Nothobranchius furzeri: one gene and its partners. The protein of the gene in region 1 purifies or fractionates together with the protein of each later gene. This does not show direct contact. Links are inferred from orthologs where the notes say so. Each region holds a gene or a part of one and is shown in the gene's direction. Other genes may lie near its edges. The genes, in order: tyrosine-protein phosphatase non-receptor type 14, NEDD4-like E3 ubiquitin-protein ligase WWP1, stxbp4, wwc1 and pdlim7.

The links.
Region 2: the proteins of tyrosine-protein phosphatase non-receptor type 14 (region 1) and NEDD4-like E3 ubiquitin-protein ligase WWP1 purify together in Homo sapiens (affinity purification with mass spectrometry; 3 studies listed by BioGRID). This does not show direct contact. The link is inferred for Nothobranchius furzeri from reciprocal best matches to the Homo sapiens genes PTPN14 and WWP1.
Region 3: the proteins of tyrosine-protein phosphatase non-receptor type 14 (region 1) and stxbp4 purify together in Homo sapiens (affinity purification with mass spectrometry; 3 studies listed by BioGRID and IntAct, counting the BioPlex papers as one, with this or other methods). This does not show direct contact. The link is inferred for Nothobranchius furzeri from reciprocal best matches to the Homo sapiens genes PTPN14 and STXBP4.
Region 4: the proteins of tyrosine-protein phosphatase non-receptor type 14 (region 1) and wwc1 purify together in Homo sapiens (affinity purification with mass spectrometry; 7 studies listed by BioGRID and IntAct, counting the BioPlex papers as one, with this or other methods). This does not show direct contact. The link is inferred for Nothobranchius furzeri from reciprocal best matches to the Homo sapiens genes PTPN14 and WWC1.
Region 5: the proteins of tyrosine-protein phosphatase non-receptor type 14 (region 1) and pdlim7 purify together in Homo sapiens (affinity purification with mass spectrometry; 3 studies listed by BioGRID and IntAct, counting the BioPlex papers as one, with this or other methods). This does not show direct contact. The link is inferred for Nothobranchius furzeri from reciprocal best matches to the Homo sapiens genes PTPN14 and PDLIM7.

What each region holds. Positions count from the first base shown.
Region 1 is NC_091742.1:4,858,016-4,860,798, reverse strand, and holds the end of tyrosine-protein phosphatase non-receptor type 14, read left to right. Parts: intron 1-1,074; coding exon 1,075-1,203; intron 1,204-1,326; coding exon 1,327-1,561; intron 1,562-1,642; coding exon 1,643-1,806; intron 1,807-1,928; coding exon 1,929-2,057; 3' UTR 2,058-2,274; downstream 2,275-2,783. UniProt on the Homo sapiens protein: Protein tyrosine phosphatase which may play a role in the regulation of lymphangiogenesis, cell-cell adhesion, cell-matrix adhesion, cell migration, cell growth and also regulates TGF-beta gene expression, thereby modulating epithelial-mesenchymal transition.
Region 2 is NC_091747.1:36,665,733-36,669,251, reverse strand, and holds part of NEDD4-like E3 ubiquitin-protein ligase WWP1, read left to right. Parts: intron 1-763; coding exon 764-897; intron 898-3,408; coding exon 3,409-3,519. UniProt on the Homo sapiens protein: E3 ubiquitin-protein ligase which accepts ubiquitin from an E2 ubiquitin-conjugating enzyme in the form of a thioester and then directly transfers the ubiquitin to targeted substrates.
Region 3 is NC_091756.1:51,671,555-51,675,073, reverse strand, and holds part of stxbp4 (syntaxin-binding protein 4), read left to right. Parts: intron 1-12; coding exon 13-169; intron 170-2,630; coding exon 2,631-2,763; intron 2,764-3,000; coding exon 3,001-3,107; intron 3,108-3,185; coding exon 3,186-3,405; intron 3,406-3,519. UniProt on the Homo sapiens protein: Plays a role in the translocation of transport vesicles from the cytoplasm to the plasma membrane. Inhibits the translocation of SLC2A4 from intracellular vesicles to the plasma membrane by STX4A binding and preventing the interaction between STX4A and VAMP2.
Region 4 is NC_091750.1:71,332,295-71,335,813, forward strand, and holds part of wwc1 (protein KIBRA), read left to right. Parts: intron 1-1,624; coding exon 1,625-1,817; intron 1,818-1,885; coding exon 1,886-2,026; intron 2,027-2,249; coding exon 2,250-2,293; intron 2,294-2,406; coding exon 2,407-2,575; intron 2,576-2,663; coding exon 2,664-2,834; intron 2,835-2,919; coding exon 2,920-3,012; intron 3,013-3,519. UniProt on the Homo sapiens protein: Regulator of the Hippo signaling pathway, also known as the Salvador-Warts-Hippo (SWH) pathway.
Region 5 is NC_091741.1:103,112,487-103,116,005, reverse strand, and holds part of pdlim7 (PDZ and LIM domain protein 7), read left to right. Parts: intron 1-1,300; coding exon 1,301-1,481; intron 1,482-1,589; coding exon 1,590-1,710; intron 1,711-3,519. UniProt on the Homo sapiens protein: May function as a scaffold on which the coordinated assembly of proteins can occur. May play a role as an adapter that, via its PDZ domain, localizes LIM-binding proteins to actin filaments of both skeletal muscle and nonmuscle tissues.

The sequences.
Region 1 (2,783 bases):
GATGTTGCAGACTTATCCCTGCTGAGCCAGGCGTTTGTGGGCTTCCTGCGCCCTGAGTACGGCGGCAAGGCATTAATTCCTACCACTGGAAATGTATTGATTAAATTAGTGAACCACACCTGTAACCATTTTTCCTTTTTCCTATTATTTAAAACACCTCCCTGCTTGACGTCGAAAGATTTATTCACACTGCTTATGGATATGTTTTTATAATTTATTTTCTCTAATTTATTTGCAAATTAACCAAATGTTCAAAAATTTCAAGCAGGTTTGTTCAGAAATGAAGGGATTTCATATAGGGAACTGAACAATGAAATATTTACCATTTCTAACCCTAACCCAGTCAGTGTCTTAAAGCCAATTCATGAAAATAACACATTGATCATATCTGCTTAGAATAAAAGTCTAAATTAAAATTCTAGTGTTTACTATGTTCTGAAAAACGTCTAATCTCAGAGCTTTTTGCATCAGTGGTATAATTCAGGCTGAATTACAGTGAAGAATAAAATAAATGAACCGAGTCAGGAAATAACTTGGAGGAGAGGATGAAAGGCAGCCATTGAAGGTTGTTTGGGCCCTTAAGCTCTAAGAGCTCTTTGGAATTACTAAAGAATGTAGTTCAAACTCCAACCCTCTTAAGAAACTCCAGTTTCTCTCATTGCAGTCTGTGAACACCAACTTAAATAATAAAAATGTGAAATAGAAGCTTGGTAACATCTGTCTGATTTATTTCCTTGGAATTAAGGTAGGGTGGTTTATTTAGGAAAATAAAGCACTTTATTCTTGATTCGACTAAAAGTACGGTGTTTACAATCAGGAGATGGACGAGAAACCAGTTGACCATTAGGTAAAAATGTTAGAACTGTGTGGAAAATGGAAAATGTGTAATTTTCATAATAAAGAGCAAAAAACTATGAGAGGAAAAAGTATCTATTTATACTGCCATCTAGTGGTGAATATGTGCAGAAACAGCGCTTTTAATCAAACTAAACCTCATTGTTTTACAGGTTTTCTTCATGAAGATTTGTGATATTAGTGTAGTTTTAATAATGATTAATAAATATTCTTTCTCAGGTTATGATCAGAGGGGAGGAGTGGCACTACATCGCCACTCAGGGCCCGCTGGCCCACACCTGCGGCGACTTCTGGCAGATGGTCTGGGAGCAGGGGGTCAATGTGATCGCCATGGTTACTGCAGAAGAGGTATACACAATGTGGCACACACAGATGTGAATAGTTTCTAGTGGCCAACAGCTGTTAGAAACAGATGGATATCTCATTCTCTACTTTCACCCACGAATCATCTCGTATCGATGTCCAATTCAGGAGTGCGGCAGGTCCAAGAGTCACCGCTACTGGCCCAAACTGGGCTCCAAACACAACTCGGCCACACACGGCAAGTACAAGGTGACCACCAAATTCCGCACCGAGTATAACTGCTACGCCACCACAGGGTTAAAGGTCAAACACTTGCTGTCTGGCCAAGAGAGGACGGTTTGGCACCTGCAGTACACCGACTGGCCTGAGCAGGGCTGTCCTGAATACGTCCCCGGATTCCTCTGTGAGTTAACGACGACAATGACAACTTTACCGTTTAACTCCTGAAGACTCACTCGGCTCTACGCCTCTTTTCTCCCTGCAGCCTACCTGGAAGGGATCCAATCTGTGAGGAGACACACCAACTCCATGCTGGATACCTCAAAGAGCCTCAACCCGCCAGTGTTGGTGCACTGCAGCGCCGGCGTGGGCCGTACCGGCGTGGTAATCCTCACTGAGCTCATGATCAGCTGCCTGGAGCACAACGAGGTGTGTAGATGCTCCTGTTACCACGGCGATTATTCATTCATATTAGTGCTGCAGCGCAGCCTCCTTCATAATTCTGTAAGTTTAAATAATTCATCTTTTTTTTGTTTTTCCTTTCCTTCCAGCCAGTAGAAGTTCCCACCATGTTGTCAAAGCTGAGGCAGCAGAGGATGCTGATGGTGCAAACCATCTCCCAGTACCAGTTCGTCTACCAGGTCCTCATCCAGTTCCTCAAGAACTCCCGCCTCATCTGAGCCGGGGCAACCCGTTAGTGCTACTAGATGATCACCGTGGGACCCAAACTTATGGCGCTATAATGTAACCTGGTACAGACTCACAATTTGTTTTTGCAGAAATTAGAATTTTCCTTTCCTCAAAGTATTCAGATTTAGGTTTTTGTTTCCTTATCTTGATTTTGGTCTTTTGAACCTGATCTTCATGTAGGTTGGTTTAAAGAACAGCCTTTCTTTTCTGCCGTGTGTCTGCATGTGTGTGAGACTACAGGTGAGCATCATCAGCTTTGAGTCCCTGTTACATTTCATGTTCCAGCCAGTATTAGACTTGGTGTCATGCTGCATGAACAGTAGGGGGCAGCAGTGGTACAACATTCTCACCCTCGTTTTGCCAAACTAAAGTATTTTTTAATTCACCGAGTGTTGATTAGAACAGCAAGCACTGACTTCAGTTCTGTAACAGATATTTTATTTATTTTGATAAAAATGTGGTCACCTTCTTCTCGTTGTTGGCGAGCACACCGATCTGAACTCATTTACAGTTTTTCAGAATAATTCTTTGTAAACTTTTCTCACATTATCTGTGAAACAAATGAAAATAAAATCCAGTTTAGACCCATAAGAGCATTTGAAAAACACGAATGTTTTAAGTCATCTAGAAATTCCAAATGATCCCATTTCTATACAACTTATCACAGTTTTTACCGTGATTTAATACATTTTAGGCATTTTCCCAAAGTGGGAGGT
Region 2 (3,519 bases), on another chromosome or scaffold:
GTAGTTTCATAGCCTCCTTTAGCTCCTTAGGCTGTGCCGACTTTTAGCTCTTTGCTTCTCCTCCAGAGACACTACTCTCCTACTTCCAGGCTCTGCCATGATGCCAACAGAATTGAGTTTTCTTCTTGAGCTATTTATTCACTGTTTGCCAACTGCTACTCTTTATTTTAGCTACTGACACAATAAACAGCTAACAGCTCATAGAGAGCTCCCCCTAGGACACCTAACTGTCCCACAAAACTGTTTAGTGCGGTGTCTGGTCAGAAGACGGCTGTCCAACACTGGCTCACTGAACTGCTGCATTTCCCTGGGTCCTCCATTCATCACACACACTCAGTTATTTAGCATCAGAATACCACTGGTGTGAGAGGTTCTCCGCTCAATAACATCAGAGAATCAGAAACAGGTGGCTGCTACCACTTCAACTTTAGGACAAACTACCAGAAAGAAAAACACCATTTGAAGTCACAGACAACAAAAAATGCTTGGATCTAGAAACTGGTGACTGGTGTTTAGCACTCTCTCTGACAATGCGGGTTCCCATATCAGGGGGGAGTGGCCTAGGGATGATGGCTGACAAGAAGGGTGAGAGTTCTCTGACTGTCTTTGTGTTTAAAAGTTAGCCAGTTTTGCAGATTTTTTTATTGCAGCTTTAATTTCCGGATGTTTTTCAATCAGCAGCCATTCATATGTTTTCACTTTTATGCACGAACCTGCACATAATCTGTATTTCTGTAATTAGTCATCTCTTGTGTTCCTGTAGGCCCTTTTCCACGGGAAGTTCATCGACACGGGCTTCTCCTTGCCTTTCTACAAACGCATGCTGAACAAGAAGCTGATCCTTAAAGACCTGGAGTCCATCGACCCAGAATTCTACAACTCACTCATATGGATCAGGTAAACATCAGGGCTGTAGCATCGTTTGGTGTGGCCGATAGACATGCAGGTTACGGGTGTTACGAATCACCTTCAAGATTCCTTCAAGAGGAAAGTTCTTTTAAAATATTACTGAAAGGATTTTGTTCATTCACGTGATTTCTGAGAGAAAAAGCATCCCATTATGAACAAATGTGCTCAGTGCTCCATGTTTAGAGTCCGTTTGAACAAACCCTTCTTCTCTTCATAGGCGTTTATTCAGTTTGGGAGGTATTTTTGAACCCACAACCCTACCTGCATCGGAAATAAGAGCAAGGACAACATTTCAAACGTTGAAAATGAAAAAGACTCCTGAGTACCAGATCTTTAAGTTAACACTGTGGAACAGAACTAAATAAATCACTGAGATAAAAGAGAACTGAAAAAAAAAGTGAATAAAATGTTGCATAAGTTATATCTTTGCAGGCTTTGTCATTAATTGTTTAGATTTTAACCAGCTCCATGAGACTTTTACCAGGTCTAGCCGGTACAGCAACAGGGTTTTTCCTGAATCAAATGGAGGCAGAGGTGGTACCGTCCTGACCATGCACCAGCACATGCATACTCGGTGCATTCAACTGCCTCACTTTTTTGAAGGCAAAATATTTTTTTGTCAAGTGTTCTAATCTAAGCTTCTGTTGATGAATAGAGTATTCCATTTGACAATATTTCAAGTGAAACAAAACTGGTTTGCTGCTAAAAATTACGAAATAAAACAACAAAATGATCAGGCTGAAATAACAGACTTATTATAAAAGGCTCAATAATATGCATTAGATTGGTGTTTAGTTCCCTTTTCCCATCTGATATTTATAGTTAAAAATATTTTTAAATATTTAACCTACATTTCAGTAACATTTTAGGTTTGTATTAATAACACTCATCTTAGTCAAAATAACACATAAATATATCCAGTAAAATATAATGCATTTCATTAACATGCATTTGTATTGGAAATGGTAATAACATTTCATTTCTGCTGCTAACAGTGTAATGGTGGCATGTCCATTATGTACGGGTTGGCAATAATCCAGTTCAAATTATGTTCAGAGATAGAAGCGTTTGTGGATTATATACTACAACGGCTTGCCTTAGACTTGTAGCAGTAATGTCACTCGTATCTGCAGCGGTTCTGATCCAGAGTGCTGCAGGATGCAGGATAAACAGGATGGTGGGGACTTTTCATCCGCTTGTAGAGTTTAGTCTTAGTTTTTCGATCATCATATATTTTTCTGTGCGCCACTTGATCGTGAGACTGCTACCTGTTAGCTTTAGCCTATCTGTGTGTAGCAGCACTTTTGATCCCAAACTTTGGACCAGTTCTGCCTTTGCTGGTTCCTTTATTTTCCTCCACTGCATCCAGATTTCCACACTGTGTGCCAGTAAAAAGCATTTTTCTTACACGTAACTTACTTTTGTTCAATAAAGTTCTGGGGAAAATAGACAGACACACACAGACAGTGTTTTTTTTTTTTTTGTCGCACTGAGCCCTACTCTGATATGGAAGAGCCTGGGGGAAAATCAGGACGTCAATAGCACCAACCAAAGATATGTACCAACTAGCGAGAAAAGCCATTTTTCATCTTTTTTTGCAGCGGTTTTCGCGCTTTTTAGTGCACTGCTGCTGATACAGCACCTGTGTAGTGGCGCAACGCTGCAACTGCAGTTAAAATAACATCCATATAGCTGGGGGCAGAGTGAAATCAGGCTGGGGCGGCACAACATTAGCTGGAGGTGGCCGCCACGCAAATTTGAACGCAGGAAAAACCCTGAGCACGAACCACGGCAGGTGTCGTGATAGATGGCTTTATGTAGAGAATGTGTCAAGCACCTGCTGGCCTCGCAGATCATCACAGCCTCAGGCCACCATGTTGGTTTACCCTTACACATACGAGCTGCATTTCTCTGTCAGCTCTTCACTTGGCGAGTCCGGGGGTTCTTTTTCCACATAAAGGTCCTGAAACTAAACTAAACTGAACCAGAGCTCTCTTAGCACGTAACGTTTTACATTTCCACTGGTCACACCTCAGACTTCTGCACCAAACAGCCTCCTCTCTGCTGGACTGGAGGGAAGAGCTGCCTGAGGCAGGATCAGGGAGACCCACAGCCTGAAAGTGTTGTGAGCAGCTCTGAGTCAGTTTCTTTGTTTTCATTTGAAACAAGAAACAAGTATGAGCTTGTCGACACACTGAAATGTCATGATACTAAATCTGTGTTTAAAAGCTGTGCATTGATTTATTTTTATTGAGCATTTTCATTCAAACATTTCCAGAATTTTTATTGTGTGGTGCAATTCACACTCCAACTGCTAGGGGGCAGCAGGATTTTCCTCCTTTATTCTCACAAAATCACCAGAGGTGTCTGAACTGACTTGTACGATTAATTTTAGTCCTAAAAATTGCGACTATCATCTGACTTTTCGTGCCAGAATATGTCGTGTTGCCAGATTCTTGCCAGGACACACCCCTAATAAGCAGGATCTCCTCCCCTCAGGGACAACAACATAGAGGAATGTGGTCTGGAGATGTACTTCTCAGTTGACATGGAGATCTTGGGGAAGATCACTTCTCATGACCTCAAACCCGATGGCGCCAACATCCTGGT
Region 3 (3,519 bases), on another chromosome or scaffold:
GTTTCTGCTCAGGGAAACTGATGGACACGGCATCCTCCTCCTCTTCCTCCCGATCAGAGAGCCCCCAACTCCTCAGTCCCAAAGAGGGAGGTGTCACTGCCTACCCCCACACGCCGCACTACACTAGCAACCCCGCCTACAGCATGCACACATCAGTGCACGCCTTCAGGTACAACAGCTGCAGAGGGTTTGAGAAGACTGATGGGGTTGTCTGTGCTGCACACCCAGAATAAACCTAATATAAAAAGTGATCAAAAAGAGAAAAAAGAGAAAAATAAATAAATAAAAATAAAAAAAATGGGACACACAACAATACAACAAGAGCAAGCTATCACTGCGTCAACTTGAACAATCAACATTGTTTAACTGAACAATCACACGATAATTAATCACAGTGCATTTAGTGCCCACCATAGCCTTAAGACCTGTGTTGAACGTGCCCAAAGCCATACTTATGAGAGCACCATGTGAGTACCTGTGTGCGTACACGCGCTTGTATATGTAAGGTTTCTCTATGGGAGCATCCAGTAGAGAGTGTGAGGGGCCACATATCTGCCCCCCAAAGATGCATATGAGATGGAGGGAGCTCCAAGTCCCAGAGATCCAGGTGCTGCCCCAGAATACAGGAACCCCAAGGAGACTGCAACCAGAAAGGCCCCCGCCCCCCTCAAGAGGTGCAGAGGATTGCCCCAGGGGGCCACAACCAGCAGCCGGCAGAATCCCGGGAGATATAAGTGGCAAGCCCACAGGCCCGCCCGCAGCCTCCCACCCCCTAGCCGGCCGAGCCCAGGACCCAGCGACCCGGGACCCAGGGGCGACCACCCCCGCCGGGGACCCAGCAGAGCCCAGGGACCCAGACCCCACCAGGCAGCCACCGGGATTGATCAGGCAGACGCCAAAAATCTTAAACCCCCTGACCCGGGAGCATGGACATAATTGGGGGGGGGGGGGGGTGACATGTCCCCCCCACTTTTTCCAAGTCAAGTTTTGACCCCTGCACTTTTTACCATCCAAAAACAATATTACTTTATATTAAATTGACACTGGTTGAGCTCTAGGACCAAGCGGAAAACAACCGTTTGTGTTGAAGCCTGTTTCCCATTAGAGCATACTGTAAAGATACCCCCCCACCCCCGTGTCCCCCCCACTTCTAAAGCGAAAATGACGTCCATGCCCGGGAACCACGAACATTCAGGCAGACCAAGGCACCGCACTCCACACCAGGTGTGGCAGGGAGGGGGAAGACGAAGATCTATATCATCAAAAGAAGTCCCAGGAGAAGGGAGGAGTCAAAGGCCCCACCTGACATATATAGTCATACACAAACACAGTCAAGTCACACACTCCCTTCCTCATGCTCACACATACACATACAACCAAAGACTTACAAAAATGCACGCTGGACACCCACTCATGCTCTCCATACACACCCTATTCACTCTGGTCCCGGTACTGCTGCACATGGGGTACAACCATTGCCGGTTCCCAGAGTTTGACCCTTTCTGCTGGGGTGCTGATGAGCAGGTTCCCCCGCCCAACGCTTAGCACAGCAACCCACCACCCCAGACTCCAACCAGATGGCCAGATCTCCCTCCTAGCCTCCAGCCCCAGGAAGCCAAGCAACAATAGAGGTGTGCAAAGACCCCTAGTCTCCCTCCGCCTGCTCCAATATAGCGTTAGTGTGTGTTGATGAGGTGTATTCCATGGCTTTGGTGAGCGGGCAGTGCGGCCTTCGTCTGGCCTATGCCAGCTGATGCCACCACACCACCCCATTGCACCCACAGTAAGTGAAGTTCGGGGGGGTGGGGGGGTGGGTGAGGGGGTGGGGGGTGGGGGGGTGGGGGGGGGGGGGGTCATAGTCTAGGGGAGACGCTGTGTGTGTGTGTGTGTGTGTGTGTGTGTATATATATATATATATATATATATATATATATATATATATATATATATATATATATATATATATATATATATATATATATATATATATATATATATATACAGTACAGGCCAAAAGTTTGGACACACCTTCTCATTCAATGTGTTGTCTTTATTTTCATGACCATTAACATTGGGAGATTCTCACTGAAGGCATCAAAACTATGAATGAACACATGTGGAGTTATGTACTTAACCAAAAAAGGTGAAATAACAGAAATCATGTTTTTTATTCTATTTTCTTCAAAATAGCCACCCTTTGCTCTGATTACTGCTTTACACACTCTTGGCATTCTCTTGATGAGGTTCAAGAGGTAGTCCCCTGAAAAGGGGTTTCCACCAGTCTTAAAGGACTACCTCTTGGAGCTCATCAAGAGAATTCCAAGAGTGTGTTTAGATAAGGCTGGTATTTTCCTGTCGTCAGCCTTTATAAAATGAAATCACCTGAGGTTATCCCTAACTGAGATTCTCTCCATTTTTCATCCTGTTTAATGCAGCTGCTACAGAATGTTTTTCTCTCGGTTACACAAACGTTAAACTGTGAACCTGCTTCATGGAAACACCAGCAAAACCTATAAATAGTGAAACGCTACTTCAGCTCTTTTAAATGCAGAGCAAGAGAAGGAGGGTTAGAGATTATTTCATGCTGCTGCTGACTAAGTCATCCTCTCGTCTCTTCTCCTTTTCCTCAGTGACAGTGTCATTCAGTTGATATGTGTGGCCAAGGGAACCGGCTTGGGGCTGGTCGTTAAGGGAGGAGCCAATCGAGCCGAAGGACCAATGGTGTTCATTCAGGAAATTGTTTCTGGAGGAGACTGCCAGAAGGTCAGCTTCTGCCATGTTCAGCACACATTTGAGGATGGTATTTGTTTTCCAGACTCATCTTTAAGTTTGTTGAAGATCATCTGCTGTGCATTTTTGTTTTCATGTGAAATCTCCTCCAACTTAAAGTCTGAAAACATCTTCAGTAGTAAAATTTTGGAGATGATTTTTCCAATTAGACTTTGGGTCAGGAGACCTGGTACACAGCAGAACCTGACTGCTGGATTTGTTCTGTTTCAGGATGGCCGCCTGCAGGTGGGAGACCAGTTGGTGTCCATCAACAAAGAGTCTCTGATTGGTGTGACATATGAGGAGGCCAGGAGCATCCTGACTCGCACCAAGCTCAGGTCCAACTCACTTGGAGCAGGAAGTTATTCACCAACCAATGGGGAAGAGTTTGAATTCATCCTGACCTTGTATTTCAGACCTGACCCTACCGTGGAAATTGCCTTCATCAGAAGGAGATCGTCTTCCAGCTCCAGTAGCGGCTCACACAGCCCTGTCTGCCTGCAGGGGGGTGGAGGTGGGCCCCAGTCGAGGGCCACTGGCCCAGGCCCCATGGCTCCACAGCCAAGTGTTGTCACCAAGATCACATCAAGCCGAAACCCAACCTGTGAGACGCTGCCCCCAGTCAACATCACCCAGGTCTGAGAGGAGACAAATACGCACGAGCTGCTGCAAACCGGCTCTCGTTTCAGCTTATTTACAGAAACAGCTTCTTAAAACACTGATTCAATGGTTTTATGATGCACAAGTGTG
Region 4 (3,519 bases), on another chromosome or scaffold:
CACTGACCAATGAGCAGACAGGATGCTCCGTACACCTCCGAGCAAACATGGAGGAGAAGTTGATACTTGCTGTGACGGATTTCCCAGAACTGTACAATATTTCTACCAAAGAATATAGAGAAGTTCCCAAAAGGGAAATTGTCGGTGCCAGAAAGAACACATTGGGATCGTACTTGAGGTCCCTCATTAAATGATGGTATTCTCCGTTTCTTTCTCTGGTTTGTAATATGGGACGAACCCATTCTCGAAGTTTTTTTTATATTGTAAAATCAGAAGTAAGATTTCACATAACTCTAGCGGCACCTTGTGACACATCATATCTACCACTTTTTTAACTCTGAACCACTTAAATAACCTTAATTCCCTCCAACCTGACACAGCCAATCAAAACAACGGATGATTCGATTTCGCCATGGAACAGAACGCGCCGACGGCTTTGCCGCTGCCGCGGGTCGCCTCCCGTGTGTCAGGTAATTAAAGCGACGAATTTCGCTGATCGAGGTTGTTTGTCGCCTCCCGTGTGTCGAGCTCATCAAACTGTAGTTTGTTGATGCGATGATGATTTAGAGGAACGAGAATATTTCAGCATTAATGTAGCTTTGAATCTGATCGCCAAACAGTCTCACAGCAGTACATCTTCAGGAGTGTCGTCAAACATCTCTGGCCCTTGTGACCTTCAGGGGGAAGGGATTTATGAGATAATAGGAGTGTGTATTAGCGAGAATCTGGCCGTACGATGTTAATCACAGTACAGGGGAGACGATATGATATATTGCAATACTAAAAGCAAGCATCATATTTGCTGTTCTTAACTCGTTCATTTTTTACTGTGTGGGCGTCGGACGAGCCCCCGCACCGTGAGAACAAACATCTCAGCTCTAAAGTTGATCTTCATCCGCATACGTCACACGTCACGTGATCAGGAAGCAGAACATCCATGTGTTAGGAGATCGTTTTGGGCCACTGTTGTAAAAAAAGTGAGGCGCGAACCGGAAAAGCTTCTGCCGACCACAATTCAACAACGGATTATGAAAGAACGGATAACGCTCGAAACGTGCGGATTCTTCCTGATGTAAGAGGTGAGTCTCCGCTTTGTTTTGGCGTTGACATCATCCTAGCGCGCACCGTTCAGTGACTCTTAAAAAAACAGTAAAAACAGTGAGAAATGCTGGCAGCGAATGAGTTAAGAGTGAATTTAATCAAGAACTCGACCCAGACGCTTCCAGACACGCCCAGTGTTATCGTGGTTCCTTCTGACAGAAATGGGTAAAAACTGCTGCCACCTAGCTGTTGGAGTTTGAGTTACATCTCACAAAATAAATACAGTAAATGTTTGCATGTAAATTCACAGTAAAAGAATCGATGCACCGCTTTCAAATATTGATTCAGTATCAGAACATGAAATATCGCAATACTTCAGCATATCGATATGTCCTTACATCCCCACAAGATGTTGTCCTGTAATAAACTCTCCATAAAGAGGACGTCTAGCCTTTTCTGAACCTGCTAGAGCTAAAACATCTGCTTTAGTTTGTTTCTGTGCTGTTTGCTTCGTAGCAAACGCTCCGGCTGGTCTGAAGCTAACAAACAAGCTGCAACGGGACGTTTAATGTTTGTCCTGCAGGTACGTCCGCCTGGCGGTGCTGCCCTCCGTCCAGGCCATGCGTTGCCTCTTCCGAACACGCAGCTCGCTGCCTCAGGAAGTCGTGGAGATCAACGAGGTGTTTGGCATGCAGATTTCCCACGGTGCGTTGCGGCAGAAGACGCTGAGGGTTGACGTCTGTGACGGCAGCACGTCGGGCCTCGAGGAGTGTCTGGTTAGTGTGATGATCCCGTTAGACGTGACGAGTTTAGACGGATGTAATAAAATTTGTTCTTCCTCCAGGCGGGGGCTCAGATCAGCCTGGCTGACATCAGCTGTTCGGAGGACAGGTGCACCAAGTGGTACAACCTACTGAGTCGCCTCTACATGCCTGAGATCAGCAACAAGGACAGAGGGAGCAGAGCAACGGGTGACTCTGATCAGGTACCGGTGGGGGGGACACTGACACCTGGTGGTTGGGTTGGAAAGGACACTCAGCAGCTAAACAACAAAACCCGCCATTTTTAAAGTTGCTCTTGTTAGTTTAATAATAAAAAACAATCCGCACTTAAATGTAGGTAAACGTCACCTGACTGATCATCACTTTAACACCTTATTGTAGATTTGCTGCTGAGTTCTGAGTAATGGACGAGATGTTTTGTTTCAGGCTGGTGTTGGTAGCAGAGAGGAGGACCGAGCTGGTGATGATTGGTGAGTTTTACCTCCTCTTTGGTTCTGCTGCTCCTTCTGTAGAAAGCCTCGTCCCTGGTTCACAGCTTCTGACCTGATGATAAATAAATGGGGTTTGGCTTTTAAATCTTCAGGTGCAGCGGTCATCTGAAGGCAGATGTACTTGATGAAGATGAGGGTGGAGATGGGGAGGAGCTTCAGGAGGAAGAAGATGAGTTCTACCCTGAGAGCAGCCAGTGGGAGACGGAGGAGGAGGAGGAGGTGACCAAACCCCCTCCAGCTGCAGCACCCATCACAGAGAAGGTAGAACTTTGTTTCTGCTGGTTGTGGATGAAGACGGATAGTTACGGATGCCAGTAGGTCTAAAGTCTTCATCGTCTCCTCCGTCCAGGTGAACAAGGAGACCAGTACGGATGGATTATCCTCGTCCCATCACTGCTTCGTGGTTCGACCCAAAGAGCGCCGCCCGGACGTCCACCAGCAGAACCCGTTCATGAGGGGCAACACCATCATTCGCTCCAAGACCTTTTCCCCTGGACCTCAGAGCCAGTACATCTGCAGGGTACCAGAACCGCTCCCATGGCAACAGAAAGAGGAACTTCTCATGTTTCTGATGGTTTTATTCTAAAAGCTGTTTTGATTTGCAGATTAATCGCAGCGACAGCGACAGCTCCACCCTCTCCAAGAGGTCTCCGTTTGTCAGGAATGCCTCAGAACGGCGAAGCATGCGCATGAAGAAGGTAGAGAGTTATTCCTGCTGTGAGATAGGCGTCTTTAACATCGGAGTCAGTGGGAACTTGCTCCTTTCTGGAGTCAGCCCCGAGCGGATGAGATGCAGTAAACATTTGTGACGATGTGTTTGGTGTTTACTGCAGGTTTTTATTGTTTTTCTGAGAGCAGCTGCATCTTTTTAACCGACTTAAGCGGTTCTGGGCCAGTGTGTGTGTGGACTAGGGGTTGTATCGACTAGTCGACTTCACTGCTTTTTATGCCTTTCATCGACTAGTCGCTGTCACGTGATGATGACTGACAAGATGCAGTCCTCAGAAAAGTCAGCAGGTGACAAGCTCCTGCGCATCCGGAGGCAACGCGCTGTGCCAGAGCGTCGGTACTGACGCCCGCCGTAAAACGGACATCTAACCAAATTGTGACATTTACCCTCTTGCAATTTAACCTTCCCCTCACCCCCATCCTAACCTTAACCAGCTTGCACATGCAAAGCTGTGATTGTTGACGCGCTCCAGACA
Region 5 (3,519 bases), on another chromosome or scaffold:
CGTTACTGCAGCAGCACGTCTAGCTGCTGCTTGGCCCTTCCCACGAGACGCGACGCAGCAGAGGAGCAGCTGTCACCGACAGGGCACGAAGTCACACGAGTGACTTCGTCAGTAAACACAACAACAAGCAGGAGAAAACTACAACATGGTTCCAAAATGTTTGTGTTTTTATATTCTGTCCATTTTATAATCGCCAATACGGACCTGAAAAACAAAGGAGACCGCTAGTTGGTGATAACTTCTCACGGGGCCGCACAGTTAGTAACCTTTTTTAAAGTAAAGCGACCGGAAGGCAGTACGTTCTTTATTCTGAAAATCTCGGGAGCTTCTCTCCATTTCCGCGTCCGATTTCCTGTCTTTCCTTCCCCAAAAATGTCAAACTTGACCCGTTTCAGAGGCGTCGCGCGTAGGAAATAGAACCGGCGCGTAAAGGCCGCGACATGCTGCTCCTGAGACGCGGCCGACTCGCGCTGCTGACGGCTCCTGTGGAAAAGGTTCTGTTGACCACAGCCGTTCCTATCAGCAGCTATGACGTGCTGCTGCAGTAACGTGCTGCTGACGGCTGCTGTGGAAAGCCGGGGTAAGTGTTTTTCTCCCCACAAGAAGCTACAATGATGTTCTGCTGAGCTGTGGTGGCCTCATGGAGGGGGCTATCATCTAGCACACTGCTGCTAACCACTTAAACATTCTCCCTCTCCTGATAATAACTTTTTGCTTTCCTTGATGCTGGATGTGCTACTACTAGTTTATCCGTTTAATTATAGATCCACTAGGATACATACAATAAAGTTTATCTCTCACCAAATGGAATATTTACTAAGAAATCACAATATAACTATAGACAAATTACTTCGTCTTTGTGTGTGTGTGTGTGTGTGTGTGTGTGTGTGTGTGTGTGTGTGTGCCTGTTCTGTCTTCTCCATCCCCAGTGAGTCGTGGAGGATGGCTGCTTATACTGAGCCAGGATTCTCTGGAGGTTTTTTCCTGTTAAAAGGGAGTTTTCCTCTCCACTGTCGCTTTATGCTTGCTTAGTATGAGGATTGCTGCAATTTGAATGGCTTAATGAACTGACCTGAATTGGAATGTTTGTTATGTGAAGTGCCTTGAGACAACTCTTGTTGTGATTTGGCGCTATATAAATAAAATTGAATTGAATTGAATTGAATTATGAAGTTTTCAGACCCTGTTTTTATGAATAAGGCCCCTGTCACTTTTGTGAATGAGAATTGACATCTCAATGAGTCCCTCACCTGGTTAAATAAATAATTAAATAAAAATTGTGTGTTTTCATCTTCTCCAGGGGTCGGTACCTGGTGGCCCTGGGTCAGTCCTGGCACCCAGAGGAGTTTACATGCTCTCATTGTAAGGCAGTTCTTGAGGAAGGGGGCTTCTTCGAGGAGAGAGGATCTGTCTACTGCACAAAGTGCCATGATAACCGATATGCTTCGACCTGTGCCAAGTGCAAGAAGAAGATTTCTGGAGTAAGAGCTGCTATTTTTTTCTTTTCTGTTCTTTCAGAAAACTTCAAACCAGAAAGTTAGCTTGACCAGAAAAGGAAAAAGATAAACATGTGAAACTTCTGTTTTCAGGAGATCATGCACGCTCTGAAGATGACCTACCATGTTCAATGTTTTAAATGTGCTGCCTGCAAAGTTCCCATCCGGAATCAGGCTTTTTACATGGAGGAGGGTGAGCCATACTGTGAGAGAGGTGAGACACATTCACATACGCATGTAATGCAGTTAATCATGTAATCCAAGTTTTCATTTTATGTTTTTTAAGATTTCTAGTAAACGTGTTAAACAGCAACACATCTATTTAATTTCTAAAATATGATGAGTTCAACTTCCGCATGTCTGAGAGGAGTCAGTGCTCCGCTTTGTGAAGATGTGCGCGCCCACACGCACAAAGAAGTGAATCCATTAAAATTGAGTCATTCAAATCGAAAAGAAAAGGAGAAAGAGAATAAGTTAGACTGAATTAACGTCCAACGAATAAAAGTGAGTTTTTAAACGAGACTTAAAAAGGGAAAGAGAGGACGAGAGTCTGATCAGGAGGGGCAAGTGGTTCCAGAGCTTCGGTGCACAAACTGAAAAGGCGTGCTCCCAGCGGGATTTACAGCAGGAGCTAGGGACATGTAGGAAGCGCTGGTCAGCTGATCGGAGGGATCTTGTAAGGGCATATGGGTGAATGAGCTCAGACAAGTAGCCAGGTGCTAAGGTATTGAGGGATTTAAACACAAAAACCAGGATCTTAAACTCTATCCGGAGATGGATGGGTAGCCAATGGAGATTTGCTAAAACCGGTGTGATGTGTTCTCGCTGCCTGGTGCCAGTCAAGAATCGAGCTGCTGCGTTCTGCACAAGCTGAAGGCGAGCGAGAGTGGAGGAGGAGATACCATATAGCACTGAGTTAGAGTAGTCGAGACGGGAGGTAATGAAAGCATGGACTACTGAATGGAGATGACGCCTTTTTAAAATGGACTTAACTTTAGAGAGACGCCTCAGGTGGTAAAAACAGGTCTTAACTTCCTGGTTGACATGAATGTCCATTTTTAGTTTTGCATCCATCACAACCCCTAAGTTTGTGACATGGGTTTTCAACCCACTTGTGATAAAAGGAAGGGTCAGTTGGGGACTTTGAGAAGTCCTAGGGCTGAAAATGATGGCCTCTGTCTTGGCATCGTTCAGCAAAAGAAAGTTTTCTGACAGCCAGCTCTTCACATCATTGCAGCATTCAACGAGGAGCTGTAAGGAGTCATTAGGCTGAACTATAAAGAGAAACAGGATCACTTTACAGCATTCAAAAATTACGGCATTAGTAATAAGCAGTTAATAAATGCTTAATAATGACAAGTTCAGACTTAGTAGTCCACTAATACGCATATTAATTGGCAGCTAATTAATGGTTAATTTGTGTTCCCTAAGCTAAAGTGTTACCTTTTTTTTATTTGCTGATAACCAGTATAGATGAGTGTCGTAATGGTGCTGTAGACATGTGTAATCATTAGTGTCACAGTTAAGTTCAACTTACTTCAAATTTAATATTTCAGCCCACAACCGTAATTATATCTCCATCTTCAGGTTAAAAACTCTGCTCCACATTTATCTAGAAAAACTACAATTTTTTACATTCAGGAATTGCTCTTGACTCCTGTATAATCTTTGACTCTTCCCATTTGATCACGTGTTGCACGGGAGCTGGTGTCTTGCTCCCATAGTGCACTCTGGTTTTGGTTAAATACGAGCCACAGATCTAAGTTGTGCGTTTATTTATGAAATCTTTGTAGAATCTAGTCGCACTAATTAGCGCCAATGGAGACGAGCTCTGGTGTAACAATGAGAGGTTCAGTCATGACACTCTATAGACCGCCTGATGCTGACGAGGGGATTTCTCCTGTCAGTGTGATAGGAAGAGGTGAGCTGCTGCTAACCCTAACCCAACAAGCTTTAGTTCATAGAAACACGTTCTATGCCCAGACTGTAGTGACTTGTTATTTATAATGTTATAATTGATATT